4 linked regions of the Arabidopsis thaliana genome follow. The protein of the gene in region 3 binds, or shares a complex with, the protein of the main gene of each other region. Each region holds a gene or a part of one and is shown on either strand. Other genes may lie near its edges. The genes, in order: TOC132, TOC75-IV, TOC33 and TOC159.

Region 1 (8,496 bases), on a different chromosome or scaffold from region 3:
CAAGTTCTTTTTGTCCTAAACCACCCACAGCTCCGGTCATGCCTCCTCCTCAAGTTCCGGTAATGCCTCCTCCTCAGGTCCCGGTTAAGCCTCATCCTAAGGTCCCGGTTATAAGTCCTGATCCTCCAGCTACATTGCCTCCTCCTAAGGTCCCGGTTATAAGTCCTGATCCTCCAACTACATTGCCTCCTCCTCTGGTCCCGGTCATAAATCTTCCTCCAGTTACATCACCTCCTCAGTTTAAGCTTCCACCATTGCCTCAAATCCCTCCAATGCCATTTGTAGAGCCATCAGCTTGTTCTCACCAGTGAGCTTTCTCTCGGATTCATTCCCTAACTCACTTCAAAACAAGCCTAGATTTTCGGGTTTTTTCGGTTTTTGGCTCCATGAGTGAGCTTTCATATTTGTTCCTTATAGTACTTCAAATTCTGCTTCGGTATTTTGGTTTTTAAATTTGATTTTTCAACTAAAACCGAATTATTTGTTGGTTTGAAAATTGTTGTTTACTTAACATTTCGGTTCTGTTTTAAATTAAAATTGATAAAATTACAAAGAAAATAATGTATATTATATATCTTTAGTAGCTAAATATGATTTTTGGTAGTATAATCTTACTATTGGACTTTATTCGGTTTGGTTAGGCTAAGCTTGGTTCTTAGTTCGGTCTTACTTTCATATCTGTTTATTATGCACACCTTTGTTTCAGATAATTTTTAACATTGTGGCTTTGTGATATAGGTTGTGGATGAAACCTGAGTACAGATGCTACTGGAGGGCGATAGGTCCAGACACAAAGGTCGCAGTTGCATTTGGGCTAGTAGCCGGGAGAATATACGGCACAGATATGACAGTACGAGAAGCGCTTGACGGGCGAGGAGAAGCCTATAAGACACTTCTAAGAGAGGCAACAACTGCATTGCTCAATTCATACAACTCTCTAGGATTTCCTTATAATTCCGTCGCTGTGATCACATATACCAATCTGGCTCTCCTCGGGAATTCGGAACACGATGTCCTCATGACTGCTATTCGTTTCATCAAGGCTAATTCCGGGACCTGCAGATTCACAGTCTGCAATTGATTGAATGTGTTTTCAATACTTATATACTCTACACTCTTTCTTTCTCTTTTACATTGTTCTTGGGTCCTTTTGTAATACTATAAAAGTCTATACCTGGATTCATTGGAGAATTTATGGACTATTATTGTATCCCTATTTATACTCGGCATTAAACTTAGTTGTTACAAAGCCTAACGTTCTAGCACTGTGAGCACTAAATGTTGTTATGATATAATGCATCAATGATTGGAGAGGGACATGAACAAAAGTAGATATGCTTCATTCATAAGGGAGATCACAAGGTCTTAGAAATAGAAGAAAAACAAACCACTGAGCTATTATATATCAGACAAGGAACGTGTTATGTTCTGGCTATTTCAAGACACAAACTTTCCTCCAACAATTGGTCTCTTGCTACCAGACAGATCCTGTTCAAAACCAAAGCACATCAACGCTCAGCAAAATCCATTAAGAGGGTTTCCAAGAAAACGAAAATATCGAAATCAGTAATCACAGTAAGATATAGAGATCAGATTGTGTACCTTTTCAACTCACTCTAACATGTTCTTGTGACTAATCGATTCCTAATACTCCAGTGCAAAGGGATGGAAGTGAAATCAGCCTAAATGTTTCTTAATCATTGTCCATATTGCGTTTGCGGGTAATAATAACTAAGTAGCTTCTTGAAGAGAGGAACAATCGCAACCATAGCAAGTTGGAGCTGCTCGGAGCTGTTAACACGAACACTTACTTGCCCTGCTCCTCTATTGTTCAGATTAGCACGAGCAATTAAATTAGAGGAACGTCCAATGGGAACCTGAGACTGTATGTTCCCTCCAATAGCAAGATCACCGTGCCAATCCATTACAGAAAGTCCAAGAGTAGTCAAAAACCGACCAAGCGGATAATCTTTATCTCTCAACTGAGCTTCCAAAGTACCACCATAAGCAAAATCTCCCCGACTAGTCATAGCTCCACCAGACATTACGATTCTGAACCATTTACTAGCAATAAACTTATCTTCGACTTTCAACCCCGCAGAAACCGAATCACCCAAGTGTGTTACAGAAAGACCAGCTGCAGCCTTGTTTCTCCTGAAATTGTTAAATCTCGTTTCGCTTCGAAGAGTATAAGCCAATTCCTTTCCAACAGTTTGCATGTCGAAACCTAGGGAAGTTGATTTACCCTCTCCATGTTTAACCGAGCTGGCCATTTCTAGCTGCACATTTGCATCCTTCTTGTCTTTTGTCACTTGACCTGAGACAGATATTGGTATTTTTTCTTTTACAACAAAGAGCCGTTCTGCATTCACACCTTCATAACCAATATCATGATCCCACCCATGAGTTTCCAGGACTGGCCTAACAAGCCACTGATTGGAGGAATCAAGGTACCGGTAGCGGTGAGTAGGGTTATCAGAGTCAAAAGACGCAGGTAGAGATAAATCTGGCATAGGAACTGGAACTGATGCAGGTCCACCACTCTCCTCTTCCACATTTTCACTATACCCATCAGGCAAATCTTTAATCTCTGCAGCAAATTTCTTAAACATCTTACGTCTCTTTCTTTCCTCTTTCATTTGCTTCTTCATTAAAAGTTTCTCTCGGTACTCCATTTCATCGAGATACTGCTTCTTCTGAGATTTACTAAGCGTAGCCATCTGAGCTTTAGTCAAACTCTTAAACGGAGGAAGCTGATCATACTCTGATTCTTCGTCTGAATCTGATGATTCTTCTAAATCATCTTCATCTTCTTCATCACCATACTGCTGTTCAGGAAGCTTAGGTTGTGGTCTTGATTGCAGAAGCGATGAAAGGAGAAATGGTAATGGCGGAGCCTTGGACCGAGCTGCAAATGGTCTCCCTGGAATATTATCTTGCAACTTCAAAAGAGCATTTGCTTCTGCTAGAATCTTAGATGCAAATGAGAGTAGCAACAAATGTGGCTTCCACACTTGGCCATTCGGTAATACTCTCTGGCCTGCCCGATTAGTCCTGCAAGCTGAGTGATTCTCAACTAAAGAAACAGGGTTCATGAGCCTCATATCTCCAGCTGCTTGGCGAATGGCCTGCTGGATGACATGAGAACGTTGTGTAACAAACATATCATAGCTAGAAGCAGTGCCATTTGGGCCATCTGGTGGAACAGAAGCGGCATGAGTCAAACCCACAATGGCATTAAACCATATCGAAGGACCAAAAACATCACTTATGGTGCGCAGGAGAGGCATGTCACCAGAATCTCTGCTTTGCATATCCAACCTATCAAGATATAGTACAATGTCAGGTGGATTCTTCTTGATGAAAGCCTTAACAGAATTCAGGATCTTCTCATTCTTGGCTTGATCAGACCAGGAAGGTAAGAGACCGGGAGTGTCAATCACCCGTACCTTAATTCCCTGAACCAAACCCTCAACATCTTGAACCCTCTTTGTCCCCATCTGGAATGCATCAGTACAAAATTTCACTTCATCAAATATAGAATTGATCGTTGCACTTTTACCAACCCCACTTTTTCCGAGAACCATAATCGTACAAGAAAAATCAAGTGGATCCTGTCCAGCAGCCTCAAGCTGTTCTGCCATGGCACTAGCGCGATCAAAACTAAAAGCACCAACACGGCTTCCATTTCTGCCCCTCAACTGCTCAGCCAATCCAAGCCTGTATAAAACCTGAGCAACAACAACATTATGCGGGGTTTGCCCTAGTCTATGTGCAAGCCTCAAAAATTTTACCCTGATCAACTGGAGCTTCTCGCGGGTCTCATCATGCTCATCAGCCTCTGTAGTGGTAGAGTCTTCAGCTTGCTGAAACTGATTGTGAGACCCATTCCCATTGACGCGAGACTGTTGAGGAGCACGTGATGCAGGTTCCAAAAGAGGAGAAGCACGACCAAGACCTGCTGGACGAGCAGGTGGTAATGCCGCAGGATTACTTCTAGACTCTGTTGGTGAAACAGAACTTACTACCTCAGGTTCTGTTTCCACATGTGAATTTTCTGTAATCTCTGGATCTACATGTACTCTGCTGCTTTGCTGCTTCTCAAGCTCCTTATTTGGTTGAGGACTCTGAACATCATGTCCTCCATTAGCACTTTGAACTGGTTTGTGTTCTCTACTAGTTACCCCAGGGGAGCCACTATTGCTGTGAACTTCAGTTGACTCAGGATATGAGTGCGGCGAAGAAGCCAAGTGTTGCTCTGGTTTTAAACAAGTACTGTCCCCTTCAGTCTCTCCCTTTTCCCCGGAACTAGATTCCTCCAATGGAGATGAAGTCACAGCACTTGATACTTCATTGTCACCTGAAGCATTAGTAACGATATTACTTGTGTAGGCGGCACCAGTCTCACCATTTCTTTCTGCCTCGGACTCACTGTCCATACATACTGAACCATTCTCAAATAGATCCTTACTTGTTCCTTCACCTTCCACAACATCTTGTTCTGTCTGTTTCTCAAATAGATTCTTACTTGTTCCTTCACCTTCTACAACCTCTTCTTCTGTCCGTTTCTCAAATTGATTTTCAGTTGTTCCTTCACCTTCCTCAACCTCTTGTTCTGTCTGTATGCCATCAACTCTTTCCTCCCAATTATCGACTTCAATGCCATCATTCCATGGTTCCTCAATCCCATCATCTTTAGGGATAACTTCAGCCACCACTTCTTTATTTTTAGGAGAGGCGATTCCATTTCCCAAAAAAGAATGAGTCTTTCCGTTTTCAATACCCACATGCTCAGCTGCTAAATTGGAACCATTAGTATTAGTTGATGTAGCATTCTCAGTGGTATCAACAACATCCAAGCTCGATTCAACTTTATCATAAGAACCACCTCCACCTCCTTCCCCCTTATCACCATTCATTTTAGTAGCCAAAACATCAAATTCAGCCTCTCCCGCACCATGGCTCTCTCCAACAGCCGTAAAATCTTTAACACCCCCTTCATTGCTACTCGTTTCATCCAAATCACCCACTGCCTCTTCAAAATCCTCCACTTCATGCTCAACCATAGAACTTTTAAGAGTTTCCACTAAAGGCAAATCATCAGATTCAAACAATTCACGTTTTGGATCCTCCTCCTCCTCCTGCTCATCATTCTCTGAACCAATCGCTTCCTCAAAAACCTCGTCCTCGTTATCATCCCTTACTTCATCAGATCTCACCAACTCATTCTTCACTACTTGCTCATCACTAATTCTATCCTCAGCAAGCTTCTTATCTTCCCTATCTGACCTAACCACAAACTCAGTCCCATCTCCCATTTTCTAGATCACCACCGCTACGGGAAACAAAAGCCACAAATACAATAATCAGAGATCAGAAATCACTCCAATTACCAACTACGCTTTAACCATCAATATAAATTCCAACAACCAAAAAAAAAAAAAAACGAGCACACAGCTAAAAGAAACCTAGATCAGAGTTAATCACCACGAATCCTAGAATCCTTATCCCTTACCAATTCCAGAAACTAAAATTCAATTGAAGTTAACCAAATCGCTTAAACACAGGTCTAAGCGGTGATAGGGATCTCCAAACATGGAAGAAGAACTTTGTTGATTACAGGAAACGAAAACCAAAACAGAAGAAAGAAGACGAAGAAAGAAGAAGAGAAATGGAGAGAAGCCTTACCAGAAGTTAGAGATAGAGAGAGAGAGAGAGAGAGAGAAATAGAGAGAAGGTGAAAAAGTGTGAAGATCCTTTCATGCGCTTTACCGGCTGCGAGCCTGCGACTACGACGGGGAAGGAGATAAGAGACGTTCATCAACGGTCCTGATCAGTTTGGGTTTAAGCATCGTACGGTTGATAATGACTCGTTGATGCAATCGTGAAATGATGCTGACGTGGACTATATAAAGTAGAGTGAGTGAAGCCGTGAAAGGGAATAGAAAACCCTCGTGCGTCAATTCGGTTTAACCAACCCGGTCTGATTCGGTTTGGTCTACTACAATTTTTTGTGTTCTTTCTAATGAGAAAAGTTCAGTCCCTTATTATAGAACCAATGAACGTTTTTTGTGTTAATCTTCAAAGGACAAAGAATGAAAACTCATAACAAATGATACATGAACTCAATAAGCTGGTGCAGCTACTAAGGAATCTTCCCATTACTCTTAGGTGAATCTAAAATACTTTGTCTGCTAATACACATCCAAGTTCTTGAAGACTCTTCATTGTTTTCGCATGAGACCGGGAAATGCCATGACCCTTTCTCTGATTCCTGATTTTGTCGAAACGTAATTGAGAAACTATCGAAACCGGAGAAAAAAAGGACTGAGATGGTAAACAAACCTGAATGACAACCGAAAAAGGAGACGGCATTTCAAGCTTCAGGTTACCTTTCACAAAAGTATACCGGACCTGTACCAAAACCATAAACCAAATGTTCTAATTGTAGACTTCTCAAAGTTGCACTTTTAGTATAAAAAGTTACATATTGTATATAAGTTTATATAACTTTACCTGATGTCTTTCTTTCCACTTTTGGAAAAAAGTACTCCCTAAGAGTTCAAAAATGTGGTCTCTCATCTCATCATTTGTCACAAGCAAACACTTGAGCTTAGCAGCAGCATACAGCCAATACCTGGAAAGGTAAAAAAAACAAAAGATGAGTGTAGTAACCAAACATTGTTTGTGTTTTTTGTCGAAATAATGGTGCTGAGAGAAGCTAAAAGTTCATACCAATCATCATTGGAACCTGGTGGAGTTGCATACAGGACACCGTTACTAATCCATTCTTCAACCAGATTCCGGTGAGTTGGGTTTTCTAAAAGCGTCTTGACCCGTCTCTTGTGCAATAGAATTAGGGGCCATTTGTTATTACCACTTTCACGGTAAAGTTCCTTCATCACAGATTCAAGCTGCTCTATCCCACATGTATGTGATATCAGTATAGCAAGGAATGGATTCTAAAAATATGGAGGAAGAAAAACAAGTACCCCAGAAAAGATGGGAGAACCTGTGAAAGACTGAAACTGCCATCTACAAAATTTTGTTGGTAGAGCCCAATATTTGCTCCATCTACTATAGCTTCGTAATCTCCATGTTTCTCAAGCCAGTCCTGCCAAATAAGATAGCAACATTCAACAAATATCGACATTTGAATACTCAAGATTGATGACAATTCGCAGCAAAAACTCCAACCAGTGTACCTATCTCTAAATGCTTATCATGCAATATTTAATGTCCAAGACTTATTATAACCAAGCTAAGAGAATCCCATCTCTAACCTGAAACTCGCTGAAGACCACATTTGTCTCACATGAATTCATCTTTGTCTTCCTATCCATAGCCAAAGCCACCAAAGAATCCACAAACTTCTGTGTTTCTACCTCATTGGTATCTACACAAGCTAACTGCTCACTGCAGCTCAAACATCTTCCTGTTGAGCTAACATTACCTTTCTTTACAGTCCATTTACCCTCCCCAACCCACCCATGCCCGTGCCACCCACCTCCATTATTCAAAACAGCTTCTCTAAGCATCCCAACATCAGAACCAATTCCATTATCACCAACCTCACCAGCTTTTTCTCCACAGAACCATTCCTCAATAATTTTCAAAGTTTCTTCACTAACGCAGCCAACATATTCCCTCAACTTATGTAAATATCTATAAACCTTGTTTTCTCGACCCGTGGCAGCACTTACCTTCAACAAAGCCGATATCTCTGCCTCCTCCAATGCAATACCTGCAGCTTCCATGTGCTCTTCTACCTCATAACCCTTTTCAGCCTCCAACTTCTCGCAGAAACAGAGCAAAGCCGGCGCATATGTCCTCAGACGAGGAATCGACACACCTCCAACAGAAACAAACTCCTTAACAACCTTGAAAGCATAATCACCATTACCTTTAGCAGCAGCCAGTCTAGCCACTGAAGTAACAGATGCCTCATTAGGACTTATCCCCGAACTAACCATACGATCAAAAATCTCGAAACCACGGTCAATGGCAAGGTATTGAAGAGATATGTCAGTAATGGAAGCTGAGCATAGGTACAGAAGCGTTTGAAAATGTTGCTGGCTGAGACGTACTTCACTGGAAGTGATGGCTGCATCATAAAGTGCTAATGCAGCTGAGAGGTCCTTGGACTTGGAGCATGAATTGAGATTGAAGAGGAGATTTGTTTCTGGGTTTCTGCTTACCTTCTTCTTCTTGTTGGGTCTTGAAGAGCTCTCGTCGTGACGGCGAGACCGGTGTTGATCAGAAGCAGCCATGTATACCTCAAAGTTACAAGCTTTGCATTGGTAGAAAGTGGTAGATGAAACCCTAAACCCTGAATCAAAAAAATTATGAACTTTTTCTTGAAAAGTGAACAGAAACATACAAATTATAGAGTTGCTATGGATTGGCTAACTATTCTAGTTCTCCTGAGTATTCATTCCAATTCAAAACCAATAACAGTTTCAGTTCCTAAAACCTTAACAAAGATGAAAGACCTTA
Region 2 (5,914 bases), on a different chromosome or scaffold from region 3:
ATCTTCTGATGTGAGACAATATCCCTAATACATACCCATTAGTTTTAGTGTATATGTGAATTTACTTGCTTATAACGCATGACTAGATGTGTCGTCCAGCGATTTGTTGAGTAATGGTGTATCTAGACCTTACATAATTGATTCTGCAAATGGTAGCTCTTTTATTCATTTGTGTTTCTAGTTTGTGAACATAGAATAAATTATTACATATCTTAGATTTCTTTGAATGAAATGATCATCAATACCCCTGCAAAATCCATGAATTCCCAACAATCATTTTATTGACTTTTTCTTGCGTTTCTTTCTCTTGTTTACATTTTTAATTTTCTATTTTCATTCGTGACAAACCCCCAAACCAACTTTATATATTTTTCCTAGCTTTATTCTCTTTTGACGATTTAGTAGCGCTCTCTCTCTCATTGACCAAGCTTTGGATTTGAGATGTTACTCATATATTTCTATTTTCTTAAATATCTTTAAATCTTTGGTTTTCTAATATATAGAACCTTTTTCATAGACATATAATTTCAAAGTTATAAAGTTATCTTTTTGTTTCTATAATCATACATTTCAAATTATAAAGATATATTTCTAATTATAAAGATATATTTCTTTCTTCCAAAATATTTTTATATCTTTGATTTTCTACTATCTAGTGGTTAAAAGTTTTAGATATCATTTCAAATTATAAAGATATATTTCTAATAATATATGTATATTTTCATTTTCATAAGTTTTTTAAAATCTTTGACTTCTTATATGGTTAAACTTTTTTTTATAGACATCTATGTATATAAAAACATATAAACTATCTTCTAAATACTATCTAGTAATATATAAAGACACATATACATTTACTCACATAGACATCCAAAAACAAAATTACTTGAATCTCAATTGAATTGTCATTTAAAAAAAATGGCCAAAATATCATCACTTTTGGCACTTCTTTTCATCATTCTATCTTCCATAATGATCAACCACCTCCATGTGGCGAGTTCCACAAAATGGTGTGTAGCAAAGATGAACGCAACGAATGCGCAACTACAAGGAAATATTAATTTTGGATGTAGTGAAGGAGTTGATTGTGGGCCAATTCAACCAGGCGGATCCTGTTATATCCCTAATAGTCTTGTAAATCATGCATCATTTGTGATGAATGCTTATTATCAGAGTCATGGTCGTACCAAAAAGGCATGTAGCTTCAAAAATACTGGCACATTTGCTGTTACCGATCTCAGTTTTGGTAAATGTGTGTATGTGTCTTAAAAATATATATATTTGGTTTCAATATCTGATATGCACAATAAATGATATGTGATTACATTCACATTTGTTTTTACGGATCCAAGTTTTGATAAATGTGTGTAGTGTCTTAAAAATATATATTTGGTTTTAATAACTAATATGCATAATAAATGATAGGTGATTACAATCATTCATTAGTGAATACAATCATCCATTGATGAATACAATTCGTAATTAATTTGATTGTATACATAAGACATGAAAAACGAGACATATCCAAATTGCACTTCAAAATCCCAAAAAATAAATATATTTATAAAGACCACTCAGTCTGAACAAATTTCTTTCACCACTCAAACCACGAGGCTCAAATATATACCATCATAAGTTCATAACTTAACCACTCATGAAAATCTACCATCACGTCTCTATTATATTTAGTCTCCATTGAAATAAAAACTTTCTAAACTGTATTTTATGCATTTCCTTTAGACGGTTGATAATACATGAGACCACCCCAATCCTTGATAATTCCAGAACAATAAGCTCATCAAAGGTTTAATAGATATCAACTTGCAGTACTGGTCGTTTTAAGCAATTCTAACAACCATTAAAATCAGAAATAGATAAACTCACAAAGAGATCACAACATATGTAAAATTGTTTATTTTTAACCTTCGACATTAGAACTCGTGACTTTTGAGTTTTATTTTGTTAAATAAAATCTTTAATACATTAATAGCTAGAGAGTTACGCAAACAAGTGGTAAAAATCTGGAACCTTCTATATACAGTAAAAATATATACAAGTTACCATTTCGGATATATGACGGTGTTTCACAAACCGGCCAGATGTAATACAATAAACCTTATTGGTCCGTCACATCCCATTGAGAGGACATAAACATCCGAGAAATGCGAGTGGACCAATAAGGACTAGGTCATAAGTGTCGGAAAAGTCGTTTTGCGTAATCAACAAGTTAATAGAGAGGGCATGAGTAAATGTAGTACGTGTTCTACGTCTACAGTGAACAGACTTCTTCAAAGTCAAAAACAAATCTAACTAAACATTTACTGTCGTGACGAGAGACATGAAACGGCTTGTTCTTATTCTCTTCTATCGCTTTAAACAAATGCCTAAACTCAATGACTTGCTATGCACGCATTTACATAACTAGAGTATCAGGATTATAAACCAAAGTATTAGAGTTAAGAAAGAAAGCAGCACAAAGTCTTCATGGCATGACCTTAGTATCTCTCCCCGAACCTGAGAAACAGAGCACCGGTTCCACGATTGTGACGTACAGTATATTCAGCTCGCACCATACCGAGTTTCACACCCAAACCATACGATGAACCATGTCCCATTTTCCTGTAAAGCCCTGTTGGATTCCCTTTCACATCCTTTGAACTTCCCAAATCGTTTCCATGCTCAGCAAATGCATACACATGTGTGTTCTTGACAGGAATTCTAATCTCAGCACCAAGCTATATACAATTAGCAACATACCAAAAAAAAGCTATATACAATTAGCATTATCAGATTTTATAAACTGAAAGACCAAAACAAAAGCATGTTTTTCGTAATTATATTTAACCTCGAGAATGTTTTTAGCTGCACCAAGTTCTCCCATGCTGTATCCTCGAACGGAGTTAGGTCCACCAAGAGCAAAAACATCATAGCTTGGAAGATCGCCTATGCAGCCACCGTAACGACCATGGAGGACTAGAACTGGTGGTTGTGGTTTATCGGATCCTTCTTCTACTTGCTTCAGCTGAATGAAACTTGTTAATGATAGTTGGTGGCGGTTGAAGAGCGGAAAATTATTTCCTATACCTAAGCCTTGATCCACCTGCGATTTGTGTTAGTACACTATTAAAGCTCTAATTTAGTTAAAAACACCAACATCAAGGGATTTGATACAAAACCTGAAAGATATTCTTCTCTCCAACAACAGCCCCATTCACTAGCTTGGTGTTGTCTCGGGTTATGTTGGCTTGTAGAGTGGCAATGTGGTCAATACCGGTACCACTTAGAGTTGTTGGAGGTCCATTAATACTGATTCCACCGTCAGGCGATAACAAGAGCCCATTTTCAGAGATTCGCCTGTTTTCATCTCGGGTTATTATCTCTTCAAACATAACTCCATATGTGAGTTCTCTCTGACGGGTTAAGTTCTGGACGTGAAAAAAAAGGTGCTTGTGAGAGATGATTACAAGTTGACTATCTATATATATAGGAGACTTGGTTACCTCAGTTATAGTAGCTTTAAGACAATCTCGACCCACAAACATTGGAGGCACTAGATCCTCATAGCCTGGTCCTCCAGTGAACACTGGGCTAAGTTTTCTGCTATTGAAGAAGCTCGTTTTGAAGGTACGGTTTCTAGGTTTTTTAACAGCTTCCAGAAACCGTACATACTCAATCTTAGACAAAAGATCATCCTAAGAGAAAACCAAGCGTATTAAAGGATCAAAATATCAAACTACAAAATAAACTAGATAGGTATCAGAAGCATATGTAAAAACAAGTGTACCAGCTTAGGATTAAAGATGTTCCTAATGGTCACAGAACCCATGAGAGACTGATTAGATCCCTCGCTATTTGGACGTCCCAAATTACAGTTCCCTGTTACCTCGAAAAAATCCTAATAATGCAAGATAATCAAACGAAGGACATAGTAAATTCAATAGAAAACTCTTATAACATAAAAAAGTTGCCAAGTTTAGTAGAAGACAATACATACCAAAGAAGGATCAAGACCCCACTTTTCTACTCTCTGATCTGTCTCATTAAGCTTGATCTCAAAAACAATACCATTATCTTTCTCATCTGCATGTGGTATGACTAAGGACTTAATCTTCCTCACAGCTTCCTTCACAGCTTCCATCACAATAACCTGAACAACAAAGAAGAAATCCATTAATACACACTAGAATAACTTAAGGTTCATTTCTCAGAGGAATTTCATCAAACACTTGGCAGACATCAAATTCTATTTTACAATTCTACTCAAATAGAAACTCTGTTAAAAGCCAAATCCTAAGCTAAACTCAAAGCAACGAAAGCAAAATTCTGAAATCTACTACTACAACGTGAACGAATCAACAAGGCAACACCAAAAAATCCACTGACTCAGATACAAATTTCAGTCTGGAATCGTAATCAAACACATGTTTAAAACCAAAATCCAAAGAAAAATAGCTCTCTGTAGTGATTTTGGTAGTTGATTTTGATCTTATCGCTTGTTCTTTGCGATTCAAGTTTTGAAATCAGTACAAAGAAAGAACACGAGAGAAACAAGCGATTTATGTACAATTTCTCGAAGATCAAACTCGATAATGCTTCACTCTCAAGAGGAATTAACAAAATTTCAGGTTACAGAAGAAGAGATTCAAAGCTACGTACCTACACGAGTCTTCTAGAGGTTGACGAAGAAGACGAAGAAGAAGAAGAATCTAGATCTGTCTCTCTCTCTACTCGATTTCTTCAAACTTGTAGCTCTCACACTTCTTTCTCTCTATATTGTTTGTTACTACCGGTAAGCTCTGTTTGGAAGAAAACATGCAATCGCAACCGCCAAAACTTCTTTGCGTTTTGATTCTGCATTTGGGATTCTTCTCATTTATGGGCCTTAAGCCCAACTCAATGACTGACCCAAATAACTAACACTAAGCCCAATCGTAATCCAACATTTTCGCTTTATTTATGCATTTTATAGACACAAGTGACCAGTAATTGAGTTTAGGGTCAAAAGATTCATAAAGTTTTCACAGTCATAAAACAAACCAAAAAGTTGGTAAGAAACTGAATTCACAATCTGCTCCAATCTCAAGTTTACAAATTGGTCTTCCAACTTTTTAAAACTACCATTTGTTTTTCAATCCTTAATGACTTCTAAAATCAATGATACCACAAAAACTCATAAAAGTCTTTGTTGTATTATCTTTAGCCTCTCCCAGCTTGAATTGCTGCCATCAAATTAGCCATGAAGAAAGCATATCCAACAGCGGTATGTTGCGGAGTGTAGTTGTCTCCAAGTCCAAACTTTTCAAAGTTGAGTTCTTTGTTCACAAACTTACCCGGCAACGACCTTTTCGACATAGCTTCTTGCCATATCTCCAAGAACTCCTCCATCAATTTTTTTGCCATTCCCATTGATGATATAGGAAGATACTCCACCTAAATAGTACACACACATAATTATAGGTTTCAAATGAAAGTAGTGCATAATAGCATAATGGCATAAGTTGATAGCACTAAAAATTCGTATAATGAAAACTTGTTGCATGGAAAACCGTAGATTATGCAAATTTTCTTAATTGACAAATTTTCTGCCTAATCACATTAGAAACCGTCATTATGTGTGTTACCAATCATAGCTAATAACCTTTAGTTACTGAGTTACATTACAAACTCCAAATTATGAATTAACTAGAGTGTTAGATAATCATTAACATTGATTATTAATATATCTCAACGTACTCAAAAGATATAAAATTTGTTACCTCCATGACTACGCCTCTAATGGTCTCAGCATGAGTAGGAACAACTTTACCAACTCTCAAACGAAAATCCCCAAGTTGATACTCAAGCCCTTCAAAGTAAAACGAGAGTTTGCATTTGTAAGACTGAAGGCTCTCCATGATCATTTGAATTGAAGAAT
Region 3 (6,107 bases):
TCAGAGTCGTGCCAATGAATTTTGATGCTATAAACAAAAAAATATAGTTTAATATTTTAATAAATAATGTAAACATAACAAAAAAATTATTTATTAAAATATACACATAACAAAGAAGACGGAAAGCTCCTCTCTCACAAGCCAGGCTATCTCGCCACCTGCTATACCTTTGAATATTTCAAAGGTCTTTTTTGAGAAGTATTTCAAAGGTCCGTCTTCTTGACACTACCGGCGACAAGAGACATTTTTACAACGAAAGAGTTCGATAATAGAAAGGTTAGTAAAAAAATAAAAATATTCTTTGTCGTAATTATTTCAAAGGTCATTTTTGAGAAGTCAATAAAACTATGTTTTGTTTTGTTAACAACATGCATTATACCGTTTGATTGATAACATAATAACGACACTAGCACATTTTACTAGTTTACACATTATAATCAACCTAATCGTTTTTGGTCATATTTTTGTTCTAAATTATTTATGTTTTGCTTAAAATTTGCTTAATTTATTATTAAACTTTAAATATTAATTATTTTTTTTGTTATGTTTATAATATTTATTAAAATATTAAATCATATTTTCGCGTATGGTATCAAATTTTTTTGGCACGTTCTGTTTGGATGTTATGTCACAAAAATTAAAAATTTAGTACTTACAAAAAAAACAAAACATGGTTGAAAAAATCTTTCAATCAATTACTAAAAAAAAAAGTAAATGAAGAAAGCAATACCTCATGCAGCAGCTTGTGATATGATCCAAAAACAAATCGGGACAGCTAAAGGTCTTGGCTGGTACAAGCAAAAACTCGGTCTCCTTGAGCCCATCCAGCTTCTTTCAGGTACTACAACATATTAAAAAGATTGCACATGTCAAAATGACTATTACCATATCCAAATTTCGATTGTTTCCTACTTTCCTTTTATCTTCAACAGTTGTTTCCTTTTTCTTATTTGAGAACGTTCGAGAAATCTGGACCGTCTATTTTCATCATATTGCAACTGTGAGATCTGATGGTGATTATCTAATCTAAACGGTAAGTTTGTTAGATTATGTGGGACCGGGACGATCTATTTCTTAAACCTCTGTTACAAACAAACACTCATGTCTATTAGTATTAGGAAATAAGAGATGGATATGATGATGATTCCGAACCAATTCTCAATAAACTGTTTATAATGGAACAGAAGCAGCAGTGATTGATGATCTAACAGACATTGACATCAGGCTACCAATGCTAGTCTTCCTGTGGGAGATAGAAGCGGCCTTGGTTATGCCGAGTTTTCTGTTGATCTGTGTTTATGTAATCACCCGAGGATGCAAACAATTAATCCCATCAGCTAAAAGACTTGTTTGATTCAAAACAGACTTTAGCAGATCATTTGTTTTTCTTATCTACAGAACATAATATATTCTTTTTTTGGTGATATTATGATTGGGAAACATCCATTTCATTTAACCAGAAAGCATGGCAATCTTTTCTTTGAACAAATCTCCATAAATTACAGACAAAGATAAAGCCGGAAACAAGAAAATGTTGCAGATAAAATCTAACAAAAGAAAGAACAATCGAAAAACTCTTCTTCTCCTTGTAATTTGCTCACAACAAAACCTCTTCTTCAGAGCCTCTTAAAGTGGCTTTCCACTTGTCTTGATATCATTTCTGATTGCTCCTTGAATCATCTTAACGATCAAATACTGCAAAGTAGAAGAAAGGATTTCACTTGTTTACCAAATTCGAACAAGACAATAAATCAAACTGTGTCTCTTTCTTACCTGAGCGCCTATGATAAGAGGGATGAGTTTCTTTCCTTTATCATCAGAGTAAGATCCATCTACCATCTTCTTGTCTACATGAATTGCTTTCCTCTGGTTTGTTGCTACATCAGTTATCGCCTTAACCAAGTTCGGGATCCACGCTTCACCATTTGGAAGAGCCTGAACCGAGAGCAGGTAAGCAACTTTTAACAGTCAGTCTCTCTCCAAGTCGGATCAAATCAGAGATTCGAAAACACAAACCTTTTCGTCCTTATCGTTCTTGCTGCATCTTCCGCTGTTCTCTGCATAGACTACCGCGATTGCAGAATCCTACAAGCCAGTAAAGAATGAAACTGATTCTTGCTACAATGAACCAAACATACATTGGTATAACAATTTTCGGAGACAGGTATATGTATAAATAACCATACCTCAAACTCTTGTTTTCGCATCTTAGAACCAGCCCGGATAGTTTTGAGGAGAGAATCTGATCTCTTGGAGGAAAAAGTTTCGTAGGAAAGTTCATCGGGAGGGGAAAATTGAGCATGAGTCAGAACAAGCAAGGTTTTGCACCATATCTCTTTTCCAAAGGTTTGGGTGATTGCTATAACAACTTGCTTATCTAGCTCATCGACTCTATACACATCCAAACGATCAACATAGAGCAAGACATCTATTGTTCTGTTCACAAGAAACCTGTCCAAAATCCGAGAAACACAACAACTATCGTAAAACTTCCACACACACTCCAATATACAGCTTCAGCGTAAACCAGATACTCATAATTCACAATTTCAACAGAAACCCACAAGTAAACATGTTAACCACATATATACTTAGCTTAATTAATTCAAAAACGAATGAGATAATCCTATATGCAACAATCAACGAAGAGATATTCCAAAAGAGTAGCTACTGACCCTTTGATTAACTCGAGAGCTTGGTGATTGACATATCCAGCTTCCACAAGTCCAGGGGTGTCAATAATGTTGATAGTGAACCCTCCCATTGTTCTTGAAACCATCACTGGTCTCAATCCTTCAGCCTACAAAATCAACAAAACAGAGCCATCAAATATCTTGAAATGACTACTCTTTCTTAATCCAAATTAAAAAAATCAAGCTTAGGGAAACTGAATTACGTACTTGGAAAGGACTGACACGGACGACTTGTTCGCCGATAAGAGAATTGACAGTGGATGATTTTCCGACACCGCCTTTACCCAGAACAAGAACTGTCATTGAGTTCATATCCTGCAATTACAAAAACCTCCCATCATTATCTCCTAATCACAACGGAGAATCCGAGAAACCGACTTAAGCACCAAAGAAACAGGAACAACAACAACAAAACACACCTTTTGCTTCAATTTTCCGAAGAATTCAATCAGCTTTTCCTGGGTAGCTGCTGGAAATTGCTGAAACCCAACCCATTCACGAACGAGAGACCCCATCACTCCTAAACCCTTCAGCAAAAAAATTCTTTTGGTAAATAATCGCTGAGTGATGACGATGATGATAATTAATTTCGAAAGCGATAACGTTTTGGGAGATTTGGAGGAGCTTACCGTTGTGTGAGGAGCGTTTGAGGTTTTTGGAAGAAGCTCTCTCGATGTGTTCCGCAGAGAAAAGCTAAAGAATGTGACCTTATCGGTAATTTGTTTAATAGTTCAAATTATTTTCACTTTTACTCCTCTATTTCTTTAGTGTTTCTTTTTAGTGCCTTCAAATTTTGAAAACTAACAAACTCAACCCCAAACCAAATCCAGTTACCAAGTTGCAGCATTACACTTCATATTTTCATGGAAGACTACATTAGGTGGAACATTGAATTAGCATAGCGTCACGGGAGCTCAAGCGATTCTCTGAACCTTTCTTCGCTTGTAAGTCAAGGAAAACAAATGGTCACTATTGGCTTCTCGAGCATGATTGTCTTCGCTCAGGACCCCCAGCGGTTTTCTCAGAGCCTTGGCTTCCCTCTGAAAGTTATTACTAGACGAAATCCTCTTGCTCTCTGTTGTTTCAGAGCCTCTGTCAACAGTCCTAGGCTTAAAACCAGGAGACTTCAGGTGGTACCGGACATATTCTTCTTGCTTTAGAGGTATATTCTGTTCTGTGATGGAGTAATTTGAAACACGGAGAGCACTGGGAACAGTGTGTGTTGGATCATGAAACACCGGTTCTGTACCTTGGATTGATCTTTGTGTAGTTTCCAAATAGGTTAAGAAAGGGTCTGGGATAGAACAGCCAAGAGTTCCGTAGGGTGGTTTCTCAAATGTCGTACCTAAGTATGGAGACGCTGCAAATCTAGTACTCTTTGAACCGGTTTCATGGATTTGCAGGAGATTGTTTCCTGGAGCTACATAGGGTTTCCTGAGGATGGCAGAAGAAGATTTAGGGACTAATTTGAGAACACCCTTTGGCAAAGTCTGATGATGATGGCCAGCAGAAACTAAGCTGGAACCTTGATACCGGAATACTCCTTCCTTGGTTATCTTTATCTTGAGACTGTTCTTGGAGCTGCCACTGCGAGGGAAGGTTAAACTTTTCGATCTATTTCTTTCCACGGGTTTCACTACATTGGGAGTTTTGAATCTACATGTAGCACTATCCATTTCCTTAGATGGAACTCTATTGAGGTCCAGTAGCTTGAGATTACCGGTTTGAGTTCGTCCTGACCAAATGAGGAGCCTTGAGTAATTGCCCAATTTATTTCCATACTGAACCCACACCCTTTGCATTTCGGTAAATGTCCTGATCAGCTTTTCATGATAGAACTTTAAAGAGTAGTAATACTTTCTCCTCTTGACAAACATAACACCTTCTTTGAAACAAGCTACCTTTGGAGTAAACAATCCACCTAGCAAATTCTTGTAAAACTTATCCTCTGGATTCCCAAAATATAAATTGGCACCATCAAGAAGTTCCTGCATCGTCAAACTGAAAGTCTGTGGATCCATATCTGGCAGAAAACATGAGAGGAAGAATCTTTCTTCTTCAGTCAGAAGTGAGTTCCAAGTCTCAACAGACAATATTCCCGTTAAATCTGGTAGATCGTAGAGCTCGTATGGTATGTTACAGAGCTGACCTTCAACCAAAGCTAGCTCACAGTTTACTTGCGCAATGTCGTAATCATCAGAGTCATCATCTTCAGAGTCTAGCCCAACTGTTTGATTCTTATTCATCTGTAGTTAACCACTTACTACCCTTAAAACACAAGTACTTCAAATCTCCAACCACAAACTCAGTAGAAAGGAACACAAGCAGGAGATACCTAGATAGAAAATGTTAAAGACTCATCATCAGCAATTCACATTACAAGAATTCTACTACAATACAATGGACAGCGAGAAGCTGAGTATGTTACTAATCAGAAATCAAACGAACATAAATAGCATTTTACTCACTGATTTCAGCAACAACAACACTAAAGGCTATATAAAACACGAAATATACATTGTGAGATCAATGAAGCACTCAAAAAGAAGAAGATACACAACACCAGAAAATCTCCCAGATCGGATCAGCTACAAAGCTTAAACGTAATCGATCGCGAACTCAATCAATAACCAAAATCAAAAGCTCCAACAAGGCAAATAACTAGAGAGCGAAAACCCTTGGATTTGACAACAAAAATGTGCAGACAATTTGAATAAAAAACAAGTATCATACAAATCTCAGCACAAATCAGCTCCAATGAGTTTCAAAAACCTACCGGAACTAATAAAAAAAAAGAATCTCGAGATATTCAGAGAAATCGATCGGAAAGCGTAAAAGACGAGGAGCTTACCGGCTCTAAAGACAGGTGAAATTAGCAGATTAGGGTCGAAGAAACCATATCCCTTTGGCTACAGATACGAACTTCATCGCCTTCAAAGATTCTCTGCTTCCTTTCTAGAGATTTCTATGGCTTTTCGATCGATGCGACAGTAGAGTAGAGACTAGAGAGACTAATTACTGTTACACTTGTATTTTGATTTCTTTAATTAAAGCCGCCTAAAGTAACTAATGCCTTGATTACTTTAATTAATAATCATTTTTAAATTGTGATTTATAATCAAGTTAGACATTACTTCACAAATAGTTTGGGCCTGGAAACGTATAGGCCCATGTAAACTTTAATAAAAGAATCACCTTGCAGGTAAGTATAATATCCTGATATTATTATTTACTTGATAGAATGGGCCTATAATAAAAGAAATCACCATTAAAGAATTATAGGCCCATGATATCAAGTAAATATCAAGAAATGATGATTAATGATCAAGTTAGACATCATTACTTGATATTTTGGTAAGTAGGATCAATCAACGGTCAGGATCCTTTTAGTAAAATCATGTGTCATTTTCAGTT
Region 4 (9,593 bases), on a different chromosome or scaffold from region 3:
TTTCCAACAGATTTGTCAAAGAGGGTCTTTTTTTTCTCCAAATAATCCTTTGAATAATCATCATTCACTTTCTTAACTTCTTTGGTTATTATTTACCTTTATACATTTTGTTCATACTTACTATGCATCAATATCAACAAGGTTGATTTTTCCATCGAATTCCACCACACCAAAAGGAACCAAGAAACCATACCAAAACTTCTTTGGTTATTTATCTGAAACTAATTCAAAAAGATCTGATCAGTAAACCTTTGTTCTATTGAATCTCACATTAAGAGAAACCCTTTTAACTTGAGAAGGCATACAGATATAGAGCATCACAAAATCCCCGAAACAAAACCGAACCAGTCATAACCAAGAAGGGGGAAAGCTACTAGATGAAGCTAGTAGGTGGAAGTTTGAGTCATTTGGCCTATTACTACGCACTAGTTATGATCTTTTCTCTGATACATTGAATACTTTATTAAAAACCATTACATAACCAATGTAAAAGCAAATATTTAAACGTTAAACAGTCCAATTCAGCTTTGAAAAATCCTCCCAGAAGAAGAAGACTAGTCAATATTGGTTGCGATGGCCTTGTAGAGGCATTATTATCTGTTAGATAATATTAAACATTAATGAGAAAGTAGAAATGCTTCTGTATAAATACCTTCATTACTTGTGTCTTATTTCATCACCTTCACCTTCAACATCAAACATCACATTTCTTCCTCTTTTCTCTCTTTTTTCTCAGTCTTCAAAGAGTTTCTTAGTAACCCAAATCAATGGCAGGTATCAAAGTTTTCGGACACCCAGCTTCCATTGCCACCAGGAGAGTCCTCATCGCCCTCCACGAGAAAAACCTCGACTTTGAGCTCGTTCATGTCGAACTCAAAGACGGTGAGCACAAGAAGGAGCCTTTCCTCTCCCGCAACGTAAGTATATCTATATATCTATGTGTTGTTGTAAGACAAGAGACCAACTGTTTTCATGTATCTGGCCTGCATCTCAAATGTTTTGTGTTTGAACTTCTTTCCTCTTCAGCCTTTTGGTCAGGTTCCAGCCTTTGAAGATGGAGACCTCAAGCTCTTCGGTATGAACCTTTTCCATGCATCATCTTCAATCTCAACTCTGAGTTGACAAAAGCCATTAGAGAGCAAAATCACTAATAAGAATTGGATTTTTTTATTTTTATTTTGTGTAGAATCAAGAGCGATTACTCAGTACATAGCTCACCGATATGAAAACCAAGGAACCAACCTTCTCCAAACCGACTCCAAGAACATATCTCAGTACGCAATCATGGCCATTGGAATGCAAGTAGAAGATCACCAGTTCGACCCAGTGGCTTCAAAGCTTGCTTTTGAACAAATATTCAAGTCCATCTACGGCTTGACCACAGACGAAGCCGTTGTTGCAGAAGAGGAGGCTAAGTTAGCCAAGGTCCTTGATGTCTACGAGGCTAGGCTCAAGGAGTTCAAGTATTTGGCTGGTGAAACTTTCACTTTGACTGATCTTCACCACATTCCCGCGATTCAATACCTGCTCGGAACTCCCACCAAGAAGCTCTTCACCGAGCGTCCACGTGTCAATGAGTGGGTGGCTGAAATCACCAAGAGGCCAGCTTCCGAGAAGGTTCAGTGAGAAATTTCTAAAAGGAAAATATGGTTTTGCTTCAGTCACAGTAATAATGCTAAGATTAAATAAGCGGCTTTCTCATTGCCCAATTTCTCAGTACTTTCTTTCTGTTGTATCCTCTGTTTTCTTTCAGTTATGTGAGTGTGTGTGTATGCTCTTGAGAGTATCTTTGGCAAAAACTATTTATCTAATCTTCAAGCTATTCTAAAATAAATCAATTAGTTAACTAATGCAAAGATTGCGATGTCTTAACTATGGAGATACTGACTAGTGAGAATAGTATGTAAGGACTTTAGTCTGGTGGAAATCTTACTTTGGAACGTTTCTCCTGGCGAAAGAAGTTGACTTAAGAAGACTTTGAACGTTCTTATCCTTAAAGTTTCCTTGCTTTGTCATGTCTGAAAATGACAAGTAAAATATAGACGTAAGCTTCAAATCAGACAAAACAAAACACATCAGATTTCTGGACCTATTCACCTCTCTATAAATAACAGAAACGGTTAGAGCAGCAAGTTTGTGTTTTTCACCATCAATTTTGTACCTTGACCGCCGTAAACGCAGGGTGAAGAAAGTCCACCTAGTGTTTATCTCCAACTGTTTGCTCGTCTCATTACTCTGATGACTTTGTGGCTACCCAAAGAATTGCGAGTAAAGCCAGCCATATATTTGCAGACTCTGGTCATCCTTTAAGTTAGAGGCTTTGCTACATCAAATATTCACATAAACCATAAAGATTAAGTCCACCAAGAAATATCCTTTATTCGGAGTTTTGTCTGCTAGTATCATCAAGTTTACTTCACCACGATACTCCAATAGTTTCCAGATATTATATAAGAATGAAAATCTATTACAAAGCATTTTTATAAAAAACATACCATTGCCTTCAAGGGACCAAGGAAGAACAGTAAGATCCTGGTGAAGAACACAATGAGATGAGGGTTCTAGTACAAAATCTTATCAACAGTTACAGGCTACGCACCTGCTTTAAAGATTCTTCACCGAGTGATTTGTATCTTCTGCAGAAATTTAGTAACAAATTAGCAAACTCAAACCAAGCAACATCATTAGCATGAGACGTAGACCAAAAGAAGACTGAACTAGATTCCATTATCTGAAGAACAGCAAGAGAAGCTGAGAAGGGCTAATGAAAGTGAAGAATTACTGATACATGATAAATTAAATCCGATGGGAACCTCTCAACAGAACCAAAATACAACTTTGATAAACTTCAACAAAGTTTTTATTAAAGTGGGGGAAAAACATGAACTAAAAACCAGTAATAAAAGAAAAGATCATTCTGCAGCATTCATCAGCATATTTAGTACATGCTGTACTTGTCGTTCGTCGCTTCGGGTCGAATGCTCTTGTAGATGGACATGGCAATTGGAAGAATGGCTGTGAGAGCGATTTGCAACTGATCCGAGCTGCTGGTTCTGACTGTGATCTGTCCGCTCATCTTGTTGTTAAGTCCTGCACGAAGCGCAATCTTTGAGTTCCTTCCAACAGAGACTTGAGATTGGAGATTGGCTCCAAGGGCTAAATCGCCTCTCCACTTTACCAGAGACAGCCCAAAAGAAGATTGGTCCTGTCCAATTGGGAAATCAGCTTCCCTAAGCCTGACCTCGAGGTTCGCACCATAGGCCGAATCTCCCTGTGATCGCATTGTCCCAGTGCTGCCCACAAGCACCAACCTTTTCCCCAGTGCTATTTGGTCCTCGAGTTTGACCCCAGTGGCGATGTTCTCTCCCAAGAATGTCACTGACCCTCCAACAGTTGTCTTGTTCTTCCTCAAATTCTTGAATTTGGTTTCTCCTCTGACCACATATGCCAGCTGCTTGCCTACATTCTGAATATCGAACCCTGCCATGGTGGATCCATTCTCCCCGTGCTTAGCAGACACAGAGGAGTCCAGATGAATGTTGAACTCTTTCTTGTCCTTGGTGACTTGGACAGTAGCTGTGGCAGGGAACCGGCTAGCTAGAGCAAGACTGTGTTCTGCATTGACGCCGTCATATCCACAGTCATGGTCCCAACCATGGGTATCCAACACTGGCCTGGTTAGGAGTTGTGAAGTGGGTTCCAGATATCGGTATCGGTAAGCTGAGTTATCACTATCAAATGAAGGTGGCAAAACCATATCGGGTAATGGAACTGGCACTGCAGCTGGAGCCCCGTTTTCTGGATCATCTTCTTCTCCCGGATAACCAAACTCACTTTCACCCAGCTTCTTCCCGTTTTTCTTCATTTCTTTCATCCTCTTTAATTCCTCTCTCCATTGCTTCTTCTGCAGGAGCTTTACACGGTAATCATACTCCTCGAAATATGCCTTTCTCTGTTCATTTGAGAGCTTTGCAAGTTGGGTTTTTCGAAGAGGCTTAAATGGTGGCAGCTGGTCATACTCATCATCTTCCCCATCTTCCTGCTCAGAATCAGACACATCATCAATTTCGATATCAGAGTCAACACTATCACCACCTTGGTCTCCAGGGAGCTTAGGATGTGCACGGGACTGCAACAGCCAAGACAACAAGTAAGGGAGAGGCGGGGATCTAACTCGGAAACCAAATACTTTACGATGGTCCAATGGTTCTTGAGGCCTCAATAGAGAATTTGTTTCTGACAAAACCTTCAGGGAGTAACACAATAGCAACAGCTGAGATCTCCAAGTTTGGCCATTCGGGAGAACCTTCACTCCCTCCCGGTTCTTCCTACACAAGGGGTGATTCTCAACAAGTGAAACTGGATTCATCAGACTTGGATTCATCAAGCGTAGATCTCCAACAGCCTGTCCTATAGACTGTTGCACAATATGTGAGCACTGCGCTACAAACACATCATAGCTCAATGGGGTGCCAGATGGGCCATCAGGAGGGGCAGAAGCCGCATGGGTCAATGTCACTATAGCGTTTTTCCATATGGATGTACCAAGAGAAGCAGTAATCGTCCTTAGCAAGGGCAAATTGTTCAAGTCCCTGGTCTGGGTGTCAAGACGATCTACATATAGTACAATATCAGGGGGACACTTCTTCATTACCTTCTTTACAGAGGACAACATTTTTGCATTTGTACTTTGATCCATCGCAGCAGACTTCAAACCCGGAGTATCAATAAAGGTAATCTTGACACCATTCACCGTTCCAGAAATTTCTCTAACCGAAGTGGTTGAGAGCCCAAAAGCATCAATGGACGCAATCTGGTTTCCCAAAATGGAATTTATAGTAGCACTTTTTCCCACCCCGGCTTTTCCAAGGACCAGTATGTTTAGGGAGAAGATCAATTCTTCGTTGCCCTCAGCCTCAGACTCCACAGCCTTCTTCTTTGCAGCATCAAGACTGAATAACTGCCCTGCTTGTCTCCCAGCAAGTAGTGCAAGACGGTAAAGAACCTGCGCTGCAATTGAATCTTCTGCCGAATGACCCAACCTTTGCAAAAGCCGCAAAAACTTCACACGGAGGCTTTGCAACTTTTCTAATTTCTGTTTCTCTTCCTCGCTCAAGTTAATCTCAGTCTCATCTGCCATTGTGACATTAGAATTGGAAAAGATGTTGGAACGGTTTGCACGTGGAGCTGCTGCAGGCTTCAAGGGCCTTAACGATGAACTCAAACCAGCAGGTCGATCCATAGAGAAAAGCTTCGTGCCATCCTGAGATGTTATGGTAAAATTGCCACCTTCTGAACTTCCACCACCAGTGGCTGCCTTCAAAAGCGCAGCCAAAGCTGCAGTATCAAACATTTTCTCCTCACCTTCATCCTCTGTGTCTACATCCTCGTCAGAATCGGTGACAATCTGGCCATCAATCCTATCTGACATATTGTTAGAAATGTTTGCTTCATCAGAATGTGCCTCTATACCAGAAGAAGCCTTTTCCAACTCTGCTAAGAACTGTTTTGCAGCTTCAGAACTCCCAAATATCATCTCTTCAGTTTCTTCTTCACTTTCAGACCCATCAACCCTGGTAACACCTTCGCCAGAAGGTTCCTGGTCCACTTCCTTGCCTCCAAAGCTAAACTCACGAGAAGAAACAATGTCTTCGACTGGGAGCTTGTTTTCATCCTCTTCAGCACTGTCCCCTTCGACAACTTTCCGAACCTCAAACTGTGACTCAGCTGCAGGAATTGAATCCTCTTCTGCATCAACTGAACCCACTTTTAAACTTTCAGAAACAGGCAATTCTTCTACTTCCACACCTACTTTTGGTTCGTCTGGCTCTACTTTGGCAGCCTCTGATATTTCCTTAACAGCCAATTCAAAATTTCCATCATATGCAGCAGTCAGGTCATCAGGTTCCTCAATATTTGAGATGGTCTTGTCAACCTCATCATCTTTATCATCTTCCTTAATTACAGCCTCCTTAGCCGCCCCGACAACCACAACCCCTGGCTCTGCAACATTGATATCAGCATCAACAGAGTCCACCACAGAGGAGTCAACCATAGAGTCTCCTTCACTAACCAACTTTCCTCCTCCCTCCTCTGTGGCTTTATCGGATTCAAGTTCAACTTCACCACCTTCACCTTGGCCAATTGGATCAAACTTATTATGCACATCAGGGATGTTGCCATCAGTTTCCAGCACCTCACTCACCTCTACGTCTCCAACAACAACAACCCCTGGCTTTGCCACATCTACATTCACAGCTTCAATAGCAGATGAGTCCACCACAAAGTCTCCTTTGTTGTTTAACTTAACACCTTCTTCTGCATCATCGACTATGCCACCGAGCACACTCTCCTCCTCTTTGGTTCCATTGTCAGCTACTGCACTAGCTGCCTTGATTACTTCAGCATAAGTCATACCCTTCTCCAATCCGTTGGCTTTTTCCACATCCTTTGGTTCACTCCCACTCTCGGCAGCTACAACCTCTGGCTCTACAGCACTGGTATCCACAGATTCTAACTTAGAGGAGTCTGCAATAGAGTCTGATTCGCTAGTAAATTTTTCTTCTACCTCCTCAATGGCCTTGTCAGACACAGGTTCAAATTCACCACTATCATCATCCCCAATTTGATCAAACTTATTAGCCACTTCAAGAGTTTCAGCATCAGCATTAATCTTCAACTCCTCACTTCCCTCTGCGTCTCCTACAACAACCACCCCTGGTTTTGCCACATCAACATGCACTGATTCTACAGGGGACGAGTTCACAATGACGTCTCCTTTATCAGTTAACTCCACACCCTCTTCTTCAATAACATTATCACTTTTATCGTCAACATCAACTTTTCCACCCAACTCACTCTCCCCCTCATCATCTTTTTTTGTTCCAACATCTTCTTCTTCCACATCCTTCACTTTACTCTCACTCTCCCCATCTGTGGAAGCCTGTTTCACATCAACATCAACACTCCCATTTTCAATCTTACTCTCACCATCGTCTTTAATATCCTCCACGTCCTCCTTAACCTTCTTATTCTCCTCCACAACCCCTACACCATCAGAAACAGCCTCCGGCTTCGGAGATAACGATGAAACATCATCTACACCAATTGTCTCACCAGAAACCACCTCAGGCTTCGGAGTAGCCTCAGGAGTAGTAGAATCCTCCTTTAAAGAACCATCCACCTCGTCGGAAACCTTCCCATCACCCACCAAATTCGGCTTCTCCTTCTCGGAGTCAGATAAATCATCAGCTCCAACCTTATCCGAATTACCAGACACAGCCTCCGATGAGGAATCCAACTCCTTGGCACTACTCACAGCACCACCATCCTCCTTATCGGCGGCTGCAGCAGCAGCGGCGGCGACAACAGAAGCATAGGTTTTTCCTGATAACAAAATATCCTTCCGATTAAAACCCTATTCCCAAAAACGCAGATTAAAGAAGATATAAACGAGAAAGAAGAAAAACCTGATTGCCCCGAAGAAGCGTAGAAGGGGTTGGTTGGTTCTGGAGTAACCGACTTTGAGTCCATTTCCGCTTTGCTACTGAGACTCTTTCTCCGCCAAACTTGTGGAGGAAGGAGATAGCGATAGATAGATAGGGTTTAAAGGAATTTACCCTTTTTTGTGTGAAGGTTTTTATGATTGAGAATTTGGCTGCTCTCTCTCTTTTGAAGAAGAGAGAATTGGGAGAGATAAGGTCACTCGGCGAACAAAAAATGACTCTTCGTTTTTCTTCTTTGCCTTGGGATTTTATCTTCTCAGTTTGTGTTTTGAGGATGATGATGAAATTACCGAATTACCCTCGCTTCTATGTTGGTGAAGTTTCCAAGAGGGCTCTCTTTTGTGCTACGCTTTAAACTGTGTCGCTTCATTGGCTCAAGCCAAAATATATAGAGTTTCTTTTTTTATTTGAGGAAGAAGTACAATAATCATTTGTGGTTAAAATTTGAAAAACATTGTATCATTTTAAAAAACAGTAATTTTTTTGTCAAGAATTTTCAATTTTTGTTGAGTAAATTTAGAATATTTTAGTCACTTTTTGGAAAGTATTTACTGTTTAATATTTTGTTTTTATTATGCACAATTCTCCAAATGTTAAAATCTTCCCCAATGGAAAATGTTTTGATGGGCTCACTAAATCTAGGGTTTTTGAACTCATGAGAATTAGGGTTTTGTTATATCTTCTCTTTACTAAAAACCAAAAAAACCACACAACAACAAAATAAAATAAAACATTTAAAATAAAAAACGAGATAACATTTTGAGATTTGGGTTTTATAAAGAAGAAAGAAATCTTTTTTGTATCTTTGTTGATCCTCCCTACCCGAAATTGCTTGGCCACAAACGATTTTCTCACCATTATCTACGAATTATCTTGGATTTTTGTATAACACGGATTCCATATATTAGGCCGTGATTTTAGTTTTCAGATGGGCTTTTATAAGGCCTCCCCCTAATAATAGCCCGTATACATGATTTTATTATCAATTAAAGACATTCAGATTTCAGATACAACAACCCATACTGCAAAAGAATCTGACCACATGCCAAATTTTGTTTTTCGAATTAAACTCCTAAACTACACAAAACTTGTGAATATGATCTCAGAACTATACTAACTCAATGTGATTTTTTCACATTTTGCATACTAAAAGTAAATAATTAGTTGAATGTGAAATCAGGTTAAAAAAAAGTTCTTGAATTAACACAGATTATTGATCCATGAAGCTACAAAATCTCAAGTTCTAATGGATTACAAAGAACAAAAAGGAAGAAAAACAACATTTTGATTTCGTAATAGAACTCTAGACGTAGAGACAAAGTAAAACCAAAGAATTAACTGATGTCTCTGCACAATACTTTATCATCCATCTTAGTACAACAACAAGCAAAGACACAAGACATAAATATAGCGAGAAACATAACACAAATCCTAAACGCAAAACCGATTCAAACTTGATTGGTTTGTACCTTAACCGCCTTAAACGCCGGATGAAGCAACCCGAGCTCGTCTTTCATCTCCAACGGATTGCTAGTCTCGTTCCGCACTCTCTTGACTTTACGACTAGCCAAAGATTTGTGAGTGAAACCATAGATTTGCAGAATCTGGTTATCTCCAAAGTTAAAGGCTCTGTCCATTTGTTTTAGACACCGTTCCACCGGGTAATCACCAAATTTCCCACACGGTTTGCAACCGACAAAGTGAGTCACCAATGGCCATCTGTGATCTCCTAGACCCGGGTGGTAGTTTTCTATCATTTCTTCATATCTGTCCACAAGAATCCCCCAGTAACCGTGAAGATAGTATCCACTTTCTAGGTACACCTATAACAACAATGCAGTGGCTCAAATGAGTAGCTCAACAAAATCCAAACCAAGCAAAGATTTGAGTTTACTTCAATAATAGACCCTTACACAGATGTCAGAAACCACAAGATGCAACTCACATTGTCATTTTTGATGATCAAGAGACATGATAAACCACAAAAAGCAACTCACATTGTTATTTTTGATGTTCAAGAGACATGATAAACCACAACAAGCAAACCACAAGTTTCCAAATTTAGTTTTTTTTTTTTTCCACATCAAA

Evidence for each region.
Region 1: TOC33 (region 3) and TOC132 share a complex: the UniProt entries of both Arabidopsis thaliana proteins name them as parts of the TOC core complex.
Region 2: TOC33 (region 3) and TOC75-IV share a complex: the UniProt entries of both Arabidopsis thaliana proteins name them as parts of the TOC core complex.
Region 4: TOC33 (region 3) and TOC159 share a complex: the UniProt entries of both Arabidopsis thaliana proteins name them as parts of the TOC core complex.

Annotation. Positions count from the first base shown.
Region 1 is NC_003071.7:7,209,792-7,218,287, forward strand, and holds TOC132 (multimeric translocon complex in the outer envelope membrane 132), read right to left. Parts: upstream 5,827-8,496; 5' UTR 5,689-5,826; exon of another isoform or gene 5,336-5,688; 5' UTR 5,319-5,335; coding exon 1,698-5,318; 3' UTR 1,603-1,697; intron 1,489-1,602; 3' UTR 1,268-1,488; downstream 1-1,267. Other genes in the region: AT2G16630 (Pollen Ole e 1 allergen and extensin family protein), read left to right, coding at 1-307, 739-1,081; PRORP2 (proteinaceous RNase P 2), read right to left, coding at 6,146-6,274, 6,346-6,414, 6,517-6,637, 6,736-6,914, 7,013-7,114, 7,284-8,270. UniProt on the Arabidopsis thaliana protein: GTPase involved in protein precursor import into chloroplasts. Seems to recognize chloroplast-destined precursor proteins and regulate their presentation to the translocation channel through GTP hydrolysis.
Region 2 is NC_003075.7:5,802,675-5,808,588, reverse strand, and holds TOC75-IV (Outer membrane OMP85 family protein), read right to left. Parts: upstream 4,201-5,914; 5' UTR 4,172-4,200; coding exon 3,995-4,171; intron 3,948-3,994; exon of another isoform or gene 3,896-3,947; coding exon 3,785-3,895; intron 3,693-3,784; coding exon 3,501-3,692; intron 3,426-3,500; coding exon 3,177-3,425; intron 3,101-3,176; coding exon 2,846-3,100; intron 2,736-2,845; coding exon 2,496-2,735; 3' UTR 2,234-2,495; downstream 1-2,233. Other genes in the region: AT4G09090 (Carbohydrate-binding X8 domain superfamily protein), read left to right, coding at 919-1,269; AT4G09070 (TATA-binding related factor (TRF) of subunit 20 of Mediator complex), read right to left, coding at 5,197-5,430, 5,757-5,914. UniProt on the Arabidopsis thaliana protein: Mediates the insertion of proteins targeted to the outer membrane of chloroplasts. Required for the import of protein precursors into chloroplasts.
Region 3 is NC_003070.9:447,039-453,145, forward strand, and holds TOC33 (translocon at the outer envelope membrane of chloroplasts 33), read right to left. Parts: upstream 3,389-6,107; 5' UTR 3,323-3,388; intron 3,221-3,322; 5' UTR 3,209-3,220; coding exon 3,113-3,208; intron 3,009-3,112; coding exon 2,901-3,008; intron 2,801-2,900; coding exon 2,676-2,800; intron 2,452-2,675; coding exon 2,187-2,451; intron 2,086-2,186; coding exon 2,017-2,085; intron 1,936-2,016; coding exon 1,774-1,935; intron 1,696-1,773; coding exon 1,627-1,695; 3' UTR 1,385-1,626; downstream 1-1,384. Other genes in the region: AT1G02290 (uncharacterized protein), read right to left, coding at 3,608-4,939. UniProt on the Arabidopsis thaliana protein: GTPase involved in protein precursor import into chloroplasts. Seems to recognize chloroplast-destined precursor proteins and regulate their presentation to the translocation channel through GTP hydrolysis. Binds GTP, GDP, XTP, but not ATP.
Region 4 is NC_003075.7:1,102,706-1,112,298, reverse strand, and holds TOC159 (translocon at the outer envelope membrane of chloroplasts 159), read right to left. Parts: upstream 7,734-9,593; 5' UTR 7,534-7,733; coding exon 7,470-7,533; intron 7,387-7,469; coding exon 2,939-7,386; 3' UTR 2,600-2,938; exon of another isoform or gene 2,533-2,599; 3' UTR 2,496-2,532; exon of another isoform or gene 2,324-2,495; 3' UTR 2,162-2,323; intron 2,019-2,161; 3' UTR 1,934-2,018; exon of another isoform or gene 1,634-1,933; 3' UTR 1,627-1,633; coding exon of another isoform or gene 1,187-1,626; intron 1,114-1,186; 3' UTR 1,076-1,113; coding exon of another isoform or gene 1,027-1,075; 3' UTR 918-1,026; coding exon of another isoform or gene 768-917; 3' UTR 515-767; downstream 1-514. Other genes in the region: GSTF2 (glutathione S-transferase PHI 2), read left to right, coding at 768-917, 1,027-1,075, 1,187-1,626; XT2 (UDP-xylosyltransferase 2), read right to left, coding at 8,954-9,328. UniProt on the Arabidopsis thaliana protein: GTPase involved in protein precursor import into chloroplasts. Seems to recognize chloroplast-destined precursor proteins and regulate their presentation to the translocation channel through GTP hydrolysis. Required for chloroplast biogenesis.